Linked DNA regions of Tribolium castaneum. The protein of the gene in region 1 purifies or fractionates together with the protein of each later gene. This does not show direct contact. Links are inferred from orthologs where the notes say so. Each region holds a gene or a part of one and is shown on either strand. Other genes may lie near its edges.

Evidence for each region.
Region 2: the proteins of sau (region 1) and Rab11 purify together in Drosophila melanogaster (affinity purification with western blotting; 3 studies listed by BioGRID, with this or other methods). This does not show direct contact. The link is inferred for Tribolium castaneum from reciprocal best matches to the Drosophila melanogaster genes sau and Rab11.
Region 3: the proteins of sau (region 1) and Rab1 purify together in Drosophila melanogaster (affinity purification with western blotting; 3 studies listed by BioGRID, with this or other methods). This does not show direct contact. The link is inferred for Tribolium castaneum from reciprocal best matches to the Drosophila melanogaster genes sau and Rab1.

Annotation. Positions count from the first base shown.
Region 1 is NC_087403.1:8,423,589-8,427,704, reverse strand, and holds the start of sau (Golgi phosphoprotein 3 homolog sauron), read left to right. Parts: upstream 1-1,234; coding exon 1,235-1,420; intron 1,421-1,472; coding exon 1,473-1,719; intron 1,720-1,775; coding exon 1,776-1,951; intron 1,952-3,706; coding exon 3,707-3,955; 3' UTR 3,956-4,116. Other genes in the region: tRNA pseudouridine synthase Pus10, read right to left, coding at 1-160, 212-348, 395-629, 675-788. UniProt on the Drosophila melanogaster protein: Phosphatidylinositol-4-phosphate-binding protein that links Golgi membranes to the cytoskeleton and may participate in the tensile force required for vesicle budding from the Golgi.
Region 2 is NC_087397.1:10,555,093-10,559,487, reverse strand, and holds the start of Rab11 (ras-related protein Rab-11A), read left to right. Parts: upstream 1-1,480; 5' UTR 1,481-1,716; coding exon 1,717-1,756; intron 1,757-2,049; coding exon 2,050-2,171; intron 2,172-4,395.
Region 3 is NC_087396.1:13,471,731-13,475,617, forward strand, and holds Rab1 (ras-related protein Rab-1A), read left to right. Parts: upstream 1-1,266; 5' UTR 1,267-1,440; coding exon 1,441-1,454; intron 1,455-1,829; coding exon 1,830-1,902; intron 1,903-1,954; coding exon 1,955-2,002; intron 2,003-2,052; coding exon 2,053-2,100; intron 2,101-2,149; coding exon 2,150-2,377; intron 2,378-2,422; coding exon 2,423-2,620; 3' UTR 2,621-3,313; downstream 3,314-3,887. Other genes in the region: uncharacterized protein LOC103313699, read right to left, coding at 3,410-3,887.

The DNA.
Region 1 (4,116 bases):
AAGCTTTCCCGGGCGGTTCCGGAGGGACAGCGGCATGTTTTTTGAAAAGTTCGGTGTTTATTGTCTTTAAAAACTCCCCGATTACGTTACGACTAAGACCCTCGTTTTGTCCATTTGATTTTTTCAGTCTACTTTCCATCAGAAACATAATTGACGACTCCTAATACAACTTATTAATTTTTAAACAAGCAGTGGTTAGTCCTTTCGTTACCTCTTTTTCAAATTCATAAGTCGTGTTAAACTGGATTTGGAGCAATGAATCTTTATTGAACTTTTTGCCAAGTTTTTCGCCCAGTTTGTTTTGTATTGACAAGGACCATGCCCTGTTTATTGGAACAATGTTACGATCTGAAATGTAAGCATTTCAACTATTTCAACAAGCAAACCAAACAACCTTCAAAAAACTTGGGGAACTTCTCATTCATATGAATCTCCATGCTGTGTTCCCTTATTAGAACAGCAACCGGAAAACTAATGAAATTAATAAAAGTCTTGCAATCGTACTCCTTAACACCCTCCAGTTCTTCACACTGAACCATGGATTCAAGAGTCACATCTTGGAGCAAATCGAGACAAATTATGCACGAATTCAATTTCGTCTTTTTCGCCAACTGGTCGTGTCCGTTTTGCTACAAAAAAAACCTTTAATTGTTGAAAATACGACTTTTTTTTACCTGTGGATTATCATAATCGGCTGTGTTATCGCCAACGTAGCGTAAAGCGCACCTTTTGCAACACCCAGTCTCCAATAAAAAATTGAAAACTTCGGCTTTATCACTTTCGGTCATTTTTAAATAAAATAATGTGGTGGCAAAAAGTGAGGTTAAAAACGGTGGGTTATGCAACCCATTCGACAACAATTTTTTCCAAACTTGAAAAAATCCCGTGGTGGGGAAATCATAAAAATTGTGGGTGCTGATTACTTGGCATTGTTAGATTTTCTGTACAAAGGGATTAAATTGGAATTGATAAGAGCGTGACGTAATCGTAGGACGTAATCACTTTTTCCCGATTTTTGATTTTTTATCCAAAAAAAAGGCTTGAAGGGTTAGTTTAGTTTGTTAAATACTAGAAATGAATAATTTTCTTAGAAAGTGAGCGAATTTGTCGATTTTTCGGACGGAGTGGTTTTCTGCCAGCAGCCTACATGCTTTTGACATTTGCCATGTTGATGGAAGTCAGTTAAACGTCAAGTCTTGTAGAAAATAAATAAGTTATTTGATATTTAATTAAAATGAATCGGAGTGAAGGGCTGGTGCAAAGACGAAACATAATACGTGACTCAGGTGAAGGTGTGAAAGAATCGCAGAACAATGAGAAGAAGCAGGAGCACGACGAAGACATAGACGAGGGCGATTCCAAAGAAACCCGATTAACTTTAATGGAAGAAGTATTATTATTAGGCTTAAAAGACAAAGAAGTAGGGCTTCGCCCCCCGTGTGCTCACCACACCTAACCGTGTCGTTTTTAAGGGTTACACATCGTTTTGGAACGACTGCATTTCGAGCGGTCTCCGGGGGTGTATTCTAATCGAGTTAGGTTTACGTGGACGTGTGGAACTCGAGCGGGCTGGTATGCGCCGAAAGGCGCTCCTCACCCGCAAACTTATCCTCAAAAACGACACACCTACCGGAGACGTCCTCCTAGATGAAGCTTTAAAACATCTCAAGGAAACAGATCCACCAGAAACGGTTCAAAGCTGGATTGAGTACCTCAGCGGTATGCTCCAAATGCCCCTTTCTGCCCCCAGGTTCACTTAATTGCGTGCTTTTAAGGCGAAACTTGGAACCCCCTCAAACTGCGCTACCAGCTGAAGAACGTGCGGGAACGCCTAGCGAAAAACCTCGTCGAGAAGGGGGTTCTCACAACGGAGAAGCAAAACTTTCTGCTGTTTGATATGACCACGCACCCTCTGACCGATAACGTCACCAAAAGCCGTTTAATAAAAAAGGTACGTTTTGATACAGCAGGTGGTAAAGGGTGCCCCGTTCTACTAAATAGTAGATCAAGTAGAACTTTAACGATAGGCAGGTAAAGTACTAAGAAGAGTATACGACTTACACTTGCGAATTATTCCCTAATTACATTGTCTTCATTTCTATTTTTTTGTTTTCGTTACGTTTTTACATAATTAAGTGTATTTATGTCCACAACTTTCAAAATCTTCACTTTTTTTAGTTAAGTTTTCTGGGTAGTCTATATCGTCGTATATAGAAAATATCATTTTTGCTTATAGTTTAAGTTTTTAAAATTTGTAAAAGCTTTGAAAGAGTGTAACTGAGGTAATTATGCAATACTCCTTCCCAAAGCTTTTATAAATTTTAAAATTGTAAGATATAAGCACAAATGTATGTTTCTGAGAAAAAACTTATTCTTCACCTTTTCTTTATTTTTTCCTATTTATTGAATAGTTTATTGTATTTATTTACACTCTCTGGTGTAAATTATATTCGACACCGATTGTGCATAACAAATATTTGGAAAATACTAGTCTCTAATTCGACTGCCTTGAACTAAAATGCAGTATCTGCTTTTAATCTTTCAGTAGACCAAAAAATACTTATTTAACCGGCCTCTTTGAATGACTAACTCTTTACTCATATTGTTTAACTTAAAAATATCGTTTTTTTAGGACAGTTTAAGACGTGAGTATTAAATTATCTAAAACAACGTGATATTAAAGTATAAGTGGATATTGAGGTATTTAAAATATGCAGGATTTGTCGAGCACGACGGCGTAGCCGGAGTGCTCGTAAAAGAGTTATACATGAATACTTTACGTTAGTTTTTTTATTGGTACACTTTGAAATCATAAATATTGATATTACAAATATTGAAAATAATGTAATGTGAGATCAGTTTACCTTTCGTTGCCATGGAATTGATTATCATTTTAATAAAAAATGTTAAAAAAGTTAGTATTTATTTTCACTTTTCTTGGGTTATTATGTTATTAATGTTGCCATGGACACTTTAAGAAACGTGCTGCTGTGTGCTTTAAATAAGCAAAATAGATTGCCAATAATAAACTAAAAGTTCGATTAAAAGTTATATTATTGTATAAATGTATTCTTTTTTACACCTATATGAGTTATTTTTACGTAAACAAATGGACTACGATTGACTGTCTCTAAGACATTTTGTAGATACGGTGTTTTACCTTGGGAAAAGGAATGTTTTATTACAGTTAGTGTTTATTCATTTAGAAAAAGAATTGCTAATAAGTATTTAAATGAACCTAAGCGTAAAAATAATGCTAAATATGTAAAAAACTCATCAAAAAATTTTTTGGGTACTGTGTTTTTACTTGGAATTGATTTGGTCCCATTCCCATTTTTCAACTAAAGGCCAGGATATTGATAAATTAATTACAATTGTTAATTATTTACAAATTATTAAATAATGTATATATTATTGTAATGTCACAAAATTACGTATGTATGAATTTTAGCTTGTTAATATGTTAGTTCCTGTGGGAAAAAAGGGTTTGGTTTCGTCTTAAAAAATCCTAACAGAATTAACTAACTTATTAAACTAAATAGCACGGAGGTTACGTATGTATGCAAAATTTCAGCTGGTTCGGCAGCAAAGCAAGTTAACTATTGTTTGCCCTTTAGAGATCGGGAAATACTTTGTTATTTTGAATTTAAGCAAAGTGTGTCTGAATTTCTGGCGGAGGGCTTGGGGTAAAAAACCGCTTTTTCAGATCCAGGATGCCGTACTTACGAAGTGGGTGAACGACCCCCAGCGCATGGACAAGCGGATGTTGGCGTTGATTTTCCTGGCCCATGCTAGTGACGTTCTGGAGAACGCTTTTGCGCCCCTAAATGACGACGACTACGAATTGGCAATAAAGCGAGTACGAGAGTTACTTGACTTGGACTTTGAGCAAGAATCAGTCAAACCAAACACTTCGGAGGTACTGTGGGCCGTTTTCGCCGCTTTCACGAAATGAAAATAAACTGTTTTTGCTACTAAATTTTAACTATAAATAAATTACGTTGAAATATTGAAGTTATCAGTTTTGTATTTAATGTGATGTTAGTTTGTACATTGGAAATTTTTTCTATGTGGAGTACACAGGCTAGACTAGGATAATCAGTTTCAGTGGTAATA
Region 2 (4,395 bases), on another chromosome or scaffold:
CTGGAATTTGTACGCAAGATTGTGTTTTTGCTCTCGTGTCTGGTTAGTTCAAATAAGGACTCCTAGGCCTTATTTAATGATGGTTTAGCGCCGCTTTCGTTACGGCACGCTTTTGAAGTGTGGCGTAACGGGGGCGGGGCTTGTTTTGCAACCAAAGCCTTAAAATAGCTGCCTTGTTCTACTTTTTATAGGAAAGCTCAAATTTTCATACTTTGGTAAGAACTGAAAGATTCTATAGTACAATTCGCTATTTGAATTAAAAAATTGTATAGCGTGTAAATTATTTAAAAATTGAAGAAATGGTGCTAATTCTTATTCATACGTTAAATGTGATATCCACTGAATGTCTATAAAAATTATTTCTGACTTGTTGGAGTGGTTGTTCTATTGCATTTATGTCGAGCTTTAGAGGCCTGGAACGCGAAGAAAGACCTCGATAGGCGGGGCTAGTGCGCAGTGGCGTAGCAATTAACTATTTAAATTGATACTTCCTACTATTCGTCCATATATTCAGTCGTAGCAATACAATAGGTACAAAAAGTTACATCTTGTTCTATTACACAAGAATAAAAAATTGTTATTTATTGTTTTGTAACAAAATAAATTCATAGATTGTTTGCGCACCCCCACCATCGCGGTCATTCTGTCATTTCACGGTCTCTACGGCGTCAACTGGCATTTAATTAAAAACAATTGGAATCGTTGAGGTGTTGTCACTGTGACTGAGCAGTTTTGAAATGTTTTTATGGACAGTCAGTTGTATGCAACAATAAATTATTATTGTATATTATGTACAATACTCTAGGGATTTGTAAATATAATTATATCGTCGAAGTGTAATGGTCGGTCTAAAGGTACTAACTAACCACTTGCGGGGTTTTTGTTAAGTTGTTAGATGGAAAAATTGTGAATTAGTTGAAGAGAGCAAGGAAAATTAACAAGCACTGCCTTTTTTAACTAAAAAGAATAAAAGCATTATTTAATAATCTTGCAGTAAATCAAAATAGTTTTGTAAGAGCATAATGTTTAATTTTTTTCTCAGAAAAAAAATGCTGTGTTACAATTAGTTTTAATGATACGCTCATAACTTAATGCTTAGTTAAATATTTATTACATTTCCCCTCATTCTAAAATTAATTTGTAACACCCTCCTAGCTTAAGTATGGATTAATTTAGCATATAATTTTTCTAGTCTATTGGAATTTTTTTATCGTTTAAATATATTATTGATTTAAATGTTGTTTATAGGTCATAATGTTGTTCCTTAATTATGCAAGAAAATAGTAAAAGCGTATGCACTTAGGAAATTATGATTTGAGTGCCTACATAGTGTAAATGTGTGTAAATAATTATATATTTTTGGAAACATCCCGTCTCTGATTTCCAACCTTGGGCTACGCCACTGCGTTGATGGGCAATGTGGCAGTGCACGCGCATGCGCAAACAATCGAAAATCTGACAGTTCAAAGGGGCGTTCTAATCTGCGAACAATAAAAGAAGAGTGGGTCGCCATTTTGTTCGCTATAAAATCGTAAAGATCTTACCAAAGTTATATAAAACATCCCTGACCGAAACCAAAACTTATCGTTTGAAATGTGTCTGTGATATAAACAGTGGAGTGTAAATAGCGGTATATTTGTGATATGCACTAATTGTCTGTGTGTTTTTATTTTGGTACATTTTGGAGAGGGTGCAGATCAGCTGAAGGGACAGAAAATGAGTTCGAAGGACGATGAATACGATTATTTGTTCAAAGGTAAGCGTCCAATTGGGGCCCTTGTTATCGCACTTTGACGTTGCGGACCTTGGAGGTAATTGACACTTGACGTAAATTTTGTTCCCGTGTGACAAGTCAGCAATGTCAGAGGTCAACTTTTCCAAGTCCTTACTCAAAAATAATCAATTAGAGCGGCATCAGGGGCCCCCTTCATGCCCCCTGTGCACCGGTCACGAACAACTTCAATTAGAATAATCAATGATTTTGGCTTTTAAACCGTACCTGACAGAACGGTTCAAAATGCAAATGTTTACGTGCCGCTTCCTTTGCAGTTGTCCTCATTGGAGACTCCGGGGTAGGAAAAAGCAATCTGTTGTCTAGATTTACTAGGAATGAATTTAATTTGGAATCAAAATCGACAATAGGAGTGGAATTCGCGACTCGTAGCATGCAGGTGAGTCGAACACCAATAACACAAAAGGTTACTGCATCTTATTTAGTCACGACTCGAATTTCCGTAAATATCATAGTCCCACTTGCTCAAATCTCTTACTCATATTATCAGATTCTGACAAATGCGGGTGGGTGTAAGTGGATGCATAAACAACTCAAGAGACATTATTTTCCGCTCTTTCAGTCTTGTGAAAGACGTCATAATCAGCTGGCGAAGATATCCCATTATCTTAATGCACCGTTGTGTCATTGTTGACCCACTGGGTTGTGAAAGTTGACATCCCATGGTACACATATCAGTCACCTAATTTGCATTATATTTTTTTAAATCGGAAATCTGGGTTAAGTAAGTGTTGTAGAAACGCAAAATTGAGCATAATATCCAGAACAGCTCATTTTAACACTGAACTTATGTGCGAACTATGAAAGATTACAACTGTTTTTGCTACACTCATTACAGCAACAATGAAAATGTTGCCACTAATGAGTATGACAAAGGAAAGTCGATCCCGTGTCTGTGATTCATCCATTTTTTTATCGTTGCCAATTGGGTAACAAAATTTTGATATTATCTAAAGTGCTATTCGGAAAACATGCCCCAGTTTGGCTACAATTTAATGGTAATTTGTGCTCCTATTCGTTTCTGTACATGACGTCACGCTTGATTAAGTTAATGTGGAAAATTTAATAAAGAAATTGGTGATTTTTTTCGTTCACCAGAAATACGTAATTTAAGGTGATGGGTGAAATATCGTTCGTGTTCCAGACGTAATTTCGTAATTAAATGATTCCATACAACATTCAACTTTTCGTGAATATTTTTAACCATTATTGATTAATATTTCACTGTGATTGCTTTCCTGAACGTTGAAGACTTCCTCGTTTTACAAAAAACAGTTTGTTTTGTGAACCATTTATCACATAATTTTATTATTGATTAATGTAGCCTGTTTGAAGACACAAATATAATGGTTAGTAAATAGGCAGTGGTAGATTAAAACTGTCTAGCAGAAGTTCAGACTACCCAAAACATGTTTTCGAACATTTATTTACAAGGAAATAAAATGACCCTCCACTTGTCATGAGAAATAAATTTGCGGCTCAGCCCTAAGGATATTGACCGCCATCAAACGTCAACATACAAACAGTTTTGGAACTCTTGTAAACGAAATATAGTGCAATCGATTTTTTAAGAGTTTTGCGAGGTTGAACCATAACTTGACTCTAAATAAAAAATACACTTCACTGACCATCTATTTTGTTTAAAACTTTAATAAGGTTTTGTCTCTTCAGAGTTTTCTTTATTATAAAAACATGTATCAACAAAAAAACAATCGTTTCGCATACGTTGTATGAAAATAAAAGTTTGCTCTTGTCGATCTTTTATTTATTATTCAATAATTAAATGGGTGGAGTTACACTGAATGATCTAACATTTAAGAATCTTTGAATAAAAAATTATGGAAAACCGTATGTGTTTATTTATTTGCTTGATGTCATTAAGTTTGAATTGAAATTTGTTGCATATACACTTACTAAGTGAAAAAAAAGAATAATTGAAGAAATTTTAATGTATTATCGCTATTAAAGATTCTTCAGAAGCTTTTACTCTTCTTATGAACCATCATCTAAGTTGTTAAAGATAATTTACGATATAATTAACTTATACGTTATTTTATGTGAGAAAAAATATTTAAACTCGTATCACCTTTATTTTATCCTATCAACTGACAGGAAACAGAAAAAAATGTCTGTAACATCTAATAATTCAATTCTCAGAGATGCATCAGTTTTTCCTCGGTTGTTGAGTTTGTTACATAATGATTTTGTGTAACATTGAATACCTATTAAAAAAGTGAAGTATAACTATTAAAGCTTTCTTAACGACATTTATTGTTAAGTTATAAAAAACTGTCAATTACGGTAAAAATGTGGCGTCGCGTTATTTTATTTTACTTTAAAAATTATTATTAATTACATAAGTTTTTATCAAAACCTTCGTAAGTATATCGGGCATAGTATGTTTGCTTATTACAGTTAGTTGCAATAAAATAGGAAAATTGAATTCTCTTTAGATTGTAACAATTTATCTTTATCACATTCATACAATTTTTCTGCAATGTTGCAGTTATATCTTTATTTTTTATCTTATAAGGAGACTATTGGCCCACATAATTTGATGCCTTCGTCAAATTTATCAAATTGTGATTAATTTGTGTTTGTTT
Region 3 (3,887 bases), on another chromosome or scaffold:
CATATTTGTCATTTCCGGTGTTCTGATAGCGAAATTACTTTGCAATTATTTTCCTAAAATATATTTTTGGGCTTTTTGTAAAAATTGGATAAACCTTCTGGACATAAACTTCAAATTTTAAGCTTTATGGGCAATGTCCGGCTTTCCATAAGCAGGTCATAACATTAAAAAGAGACAGTGAACACGTGTTAAATTACTGGAGATCCAAAATTCCTTCAATTATTTACAAGTGATCAAAGAATGGACGGATAGGGCCGATGGGATTTAGGGAATAACAAACAAATATGTGACGAATTTAAATTTTATTATAGTGTCTGTGCGGCGGTAACGTAGCTATTTAGGTTTTTTTAGGTATTTATTGGCCGAACATCTGGAGACGGTTGTTTGATATTTGTCATAATAAATAAATAAAAAAGCAGGTACTTACGTTTCAGGGAACTGGAGTTTATTTCTTGTTTTTTTTTGTATTCGTTCATGGTTTTTCTTAATTTAATATTCCCAGTGTAATACAGATGGTCTACAGAGTGGCATTTTTACTTGTTACCTTCTTATGAGTTTTTTATAACTTCCATCAGATCAGTAACAACTATTTACCTGATATCGTTCCAAGTATGTCATATTTCAAAGATTATTCTTTTGGTTTTATTTTTGTTCTGTATAATCTTTTATGAAAATTTGGTATTCCTCGGGAATAAATGATTTTTTGAAGACGTTAATACTTTTCAATTTGCTTGGTTGGTGACAGGAAAACTGAATTGAAATTAATTTTCAATGACTGATTACGGTATTTTTTCGGAAGGATCTAACTTTTTTTAATTTTTTTTATCGTAATTTTACTACAAATGCAATCAAATTTTGCTGGATTTTGTTCTTTATTATATTATCGGTGTAAAAATCTACCACAGTTTAATAAAAGGTTTAAAAAAAAATAAAAAAATAATAATTTGGGTAAATAATATTTATATACTATAAAAAATATAGTACTATAATGATCTTATTTTATAATAATTATTAAATTATCACTATTATCCCTCCCTAATTTTATTAAACCTCCTCGAGCAGTTCCCCCACAGTTAACAAGGAAGAAAAACGAAGAAGGAAAAGAAAGAATGGAATTTATGGTCTAATAATGTAAACATCGCGTATACTTGTCGCGTTCCAGTTAATTGATATTTCCACTGATAAGAGTAAGATAACATTCCTGTTTTAATCAGAACTTTGAATGTGGCGCGCCCGCTGCAGTGCTGTCATCTGCGCCCCACCGTTGAAATTACCAGGACAAAGTTGTTGCGATACGTCAATCGCAGTAGCCATTGTCCTAAATTTGCTTATTTGTGTATGAAATTTCTGTAATTTAACGTGTAAATTAGGGTGACAGCAAAGAAAAACAGACGTAAATAGTGGTGTTTAGAGCTATTGTTTAAAATAAATACTTCAAATATGAATCCAGAATAGTAAGTATCGATTTATTTATTTTTTGACTTGTTGGAACTACAATGTAGTATTTTTGACGTGTATTGCGCAGTTTGCGTCAGGATTTCGGTTTTTTCTCCCAATTATCATGCTTTCCAATTCGCGTAATTCGGCAAAAGCGAAGAGTTTGCATTTTACTGGTGGCGGCGATCAATTTCCTATGCGTTTCCACCCACTATTCACGGCAACTCAATTATATGCAAGTGGCACGTCACTCGCACTTCATGAGTCAACCGCTCCAACTTGTGATTTTGTAGTAATTTGAAAAAATCCGAATTCCTTGTGTTATCTCTCGGGGAAACTCCGCAGTCAAGGCTGCTCGCTGCAGGAATTTCATGATTTTTTCTCACTTTCAGCGATTACTTGTTCAAACTTCTTCTGATCGGGGACTCCGGCGTGGGGAAGTCGTGTCTATTGCTTAGGTTTGCGGTGAGTCAAAGCCAGACATTGGCCCGAACGCATTTTTATGTCGTGTTTACAGGATGACACTTATACGGAAAGTTACATTAGTACCATTGGTGTAGATTTTGTAAGTACCCACTCACTTGCCCTAACGTGCTGTTAATTGTCTGTTTATAGAAAATACGCACAATCGATTTAGACGGGAAGACTATAAAATTGCAAATAGTGAGTGGCCGAGGTAATTTCGGGCCCAACTTAATCAGTGTGCTTTCAGTGGGACACAGCAGGGCAGGAGCGGTTCCGAACGATCACCTCGAGTTATTACAGGGGGGCACACGGTATTATAGTGGTTTACGACTGCACAGACCAGGACTCTTTCAATAATGTGAAACAGTGGTTGGAAGAAATAGACCGTTACGCTTGCGATAATGTAAACAAGTTATTAGTGGGAAATAAAAGTGATCTTACTACGAAGAAAGTGGTGGATTACACAACGGCTAAGGTACGGGAGGTGGGGCCAAAGGGGCTGTTTCATGGCTTGTTTTAGGAATACGCGGATCAGTTGGGCATCCCGTTCTTGGAGACCTCGGCGAAGAACGCCAGCAACGTGGAGCAGGCCTTCATGACGATGGCTGCGGAGATCAAGAACCGGGTGGGGCCCCCGTCCTCGGCCGCCGATCAAGCGAGCAAAGTGAAGATCGATCAAGGGCGCCCAATTGAAACAACCAAGTCGGGATGTTGCTGAAAATTTAGTCACATTTGTTTGCAGGTCATCTCTTATTTTGTATGGTAGCAGTTTCCTGCTAATTTATATTATAGTAATATCCGTCTTGTATGTATAGTTATTTTAAACCTGGTTATGTTTCACTCTTTCTTGAACCTTGTTATAAATTTTAATGTAATAAACACCAATATCATTAGCCTAATTATTGATAAACACGTTTTCAGTTCGAATTTCAGCGTTTTTAGGGAGGAATAGCCAAACATCTTAACTTTTGTACTTCGAGACTTGGCTATTTGCCCTAAAAACGTGTGATTACTTAGGTTTTTCTGATTGTATCGAGTTTAATTTTGGGTTTTGTTAACACTATGTGATTTTTATTGACTTTACGCAGTATGATACAAAATTTCCCAAAGTGTTTGTTCCATGATAACGTCAGTTCAGTTTTAAGTAGGAAACACTTAGGCATGCACTTGATACTTGTAAATTATGCACACGACTCCTTTTCGTTTCCAGTCATTTTTCTACATGGGGTTGAAGTTTTAGTTTGGTAGAGGAACAAACTTACCGATGACTTAACCATTTTATAACCGTTTAAATTTTGTATGATTGCTGTGCATCTATGGTTAAACAAATCATAATAGATTGTCATTTTTGTAGTTCATATTTGTATAAGAATTATTGTAACAAGTAAAGATTAATATTCAAATCGAATAATTATTTTATTTTTATTATTAAACTTTGGTCTTATTTATAGAATTTTAAAGACAATACAATAGTAATACAGTTAATTCATACGTGGCCACTCAGTGACTACAACATATCCAAAAGGTCTTGCGTGCTTATATTAATTGACGCTTTCTTTTTAGCTTTTTTCGGTGGTTCTTCAGGCTCAGTCTTTGGCGCTGTTGAAGCTTTGTCAACAGTTTTTACAAGAATTTCACTTGGGGCCCTTTTCTGGGTCAGTCTTTTAGGCAAACTGGAAGTCAATGGAATATCGTCATCGTTCAAAAAATCAAAATCTTGGGCGGACGTTGAAGGTTTGCTTTCCGAAGGGACCGAGTTCTCTTCGTGATTAGAAGCATCATCTGAATCAGTCTTGTTGTCAATATCTGAACTGTTTGATGCTTCGGATTCTGATATAGTTTCCAATTTTTTAGTTTGATTAGTTGTTTCATTTTTTCGTTTCTTGCTCTTTACATTAACTGGCAAATTCACTGTAGGTCTGCCGTTCTTAAATGCTTCCAGCAGTTCGGTCAAGTGCTGAATACGAAATTTTTTCTCATTTAAG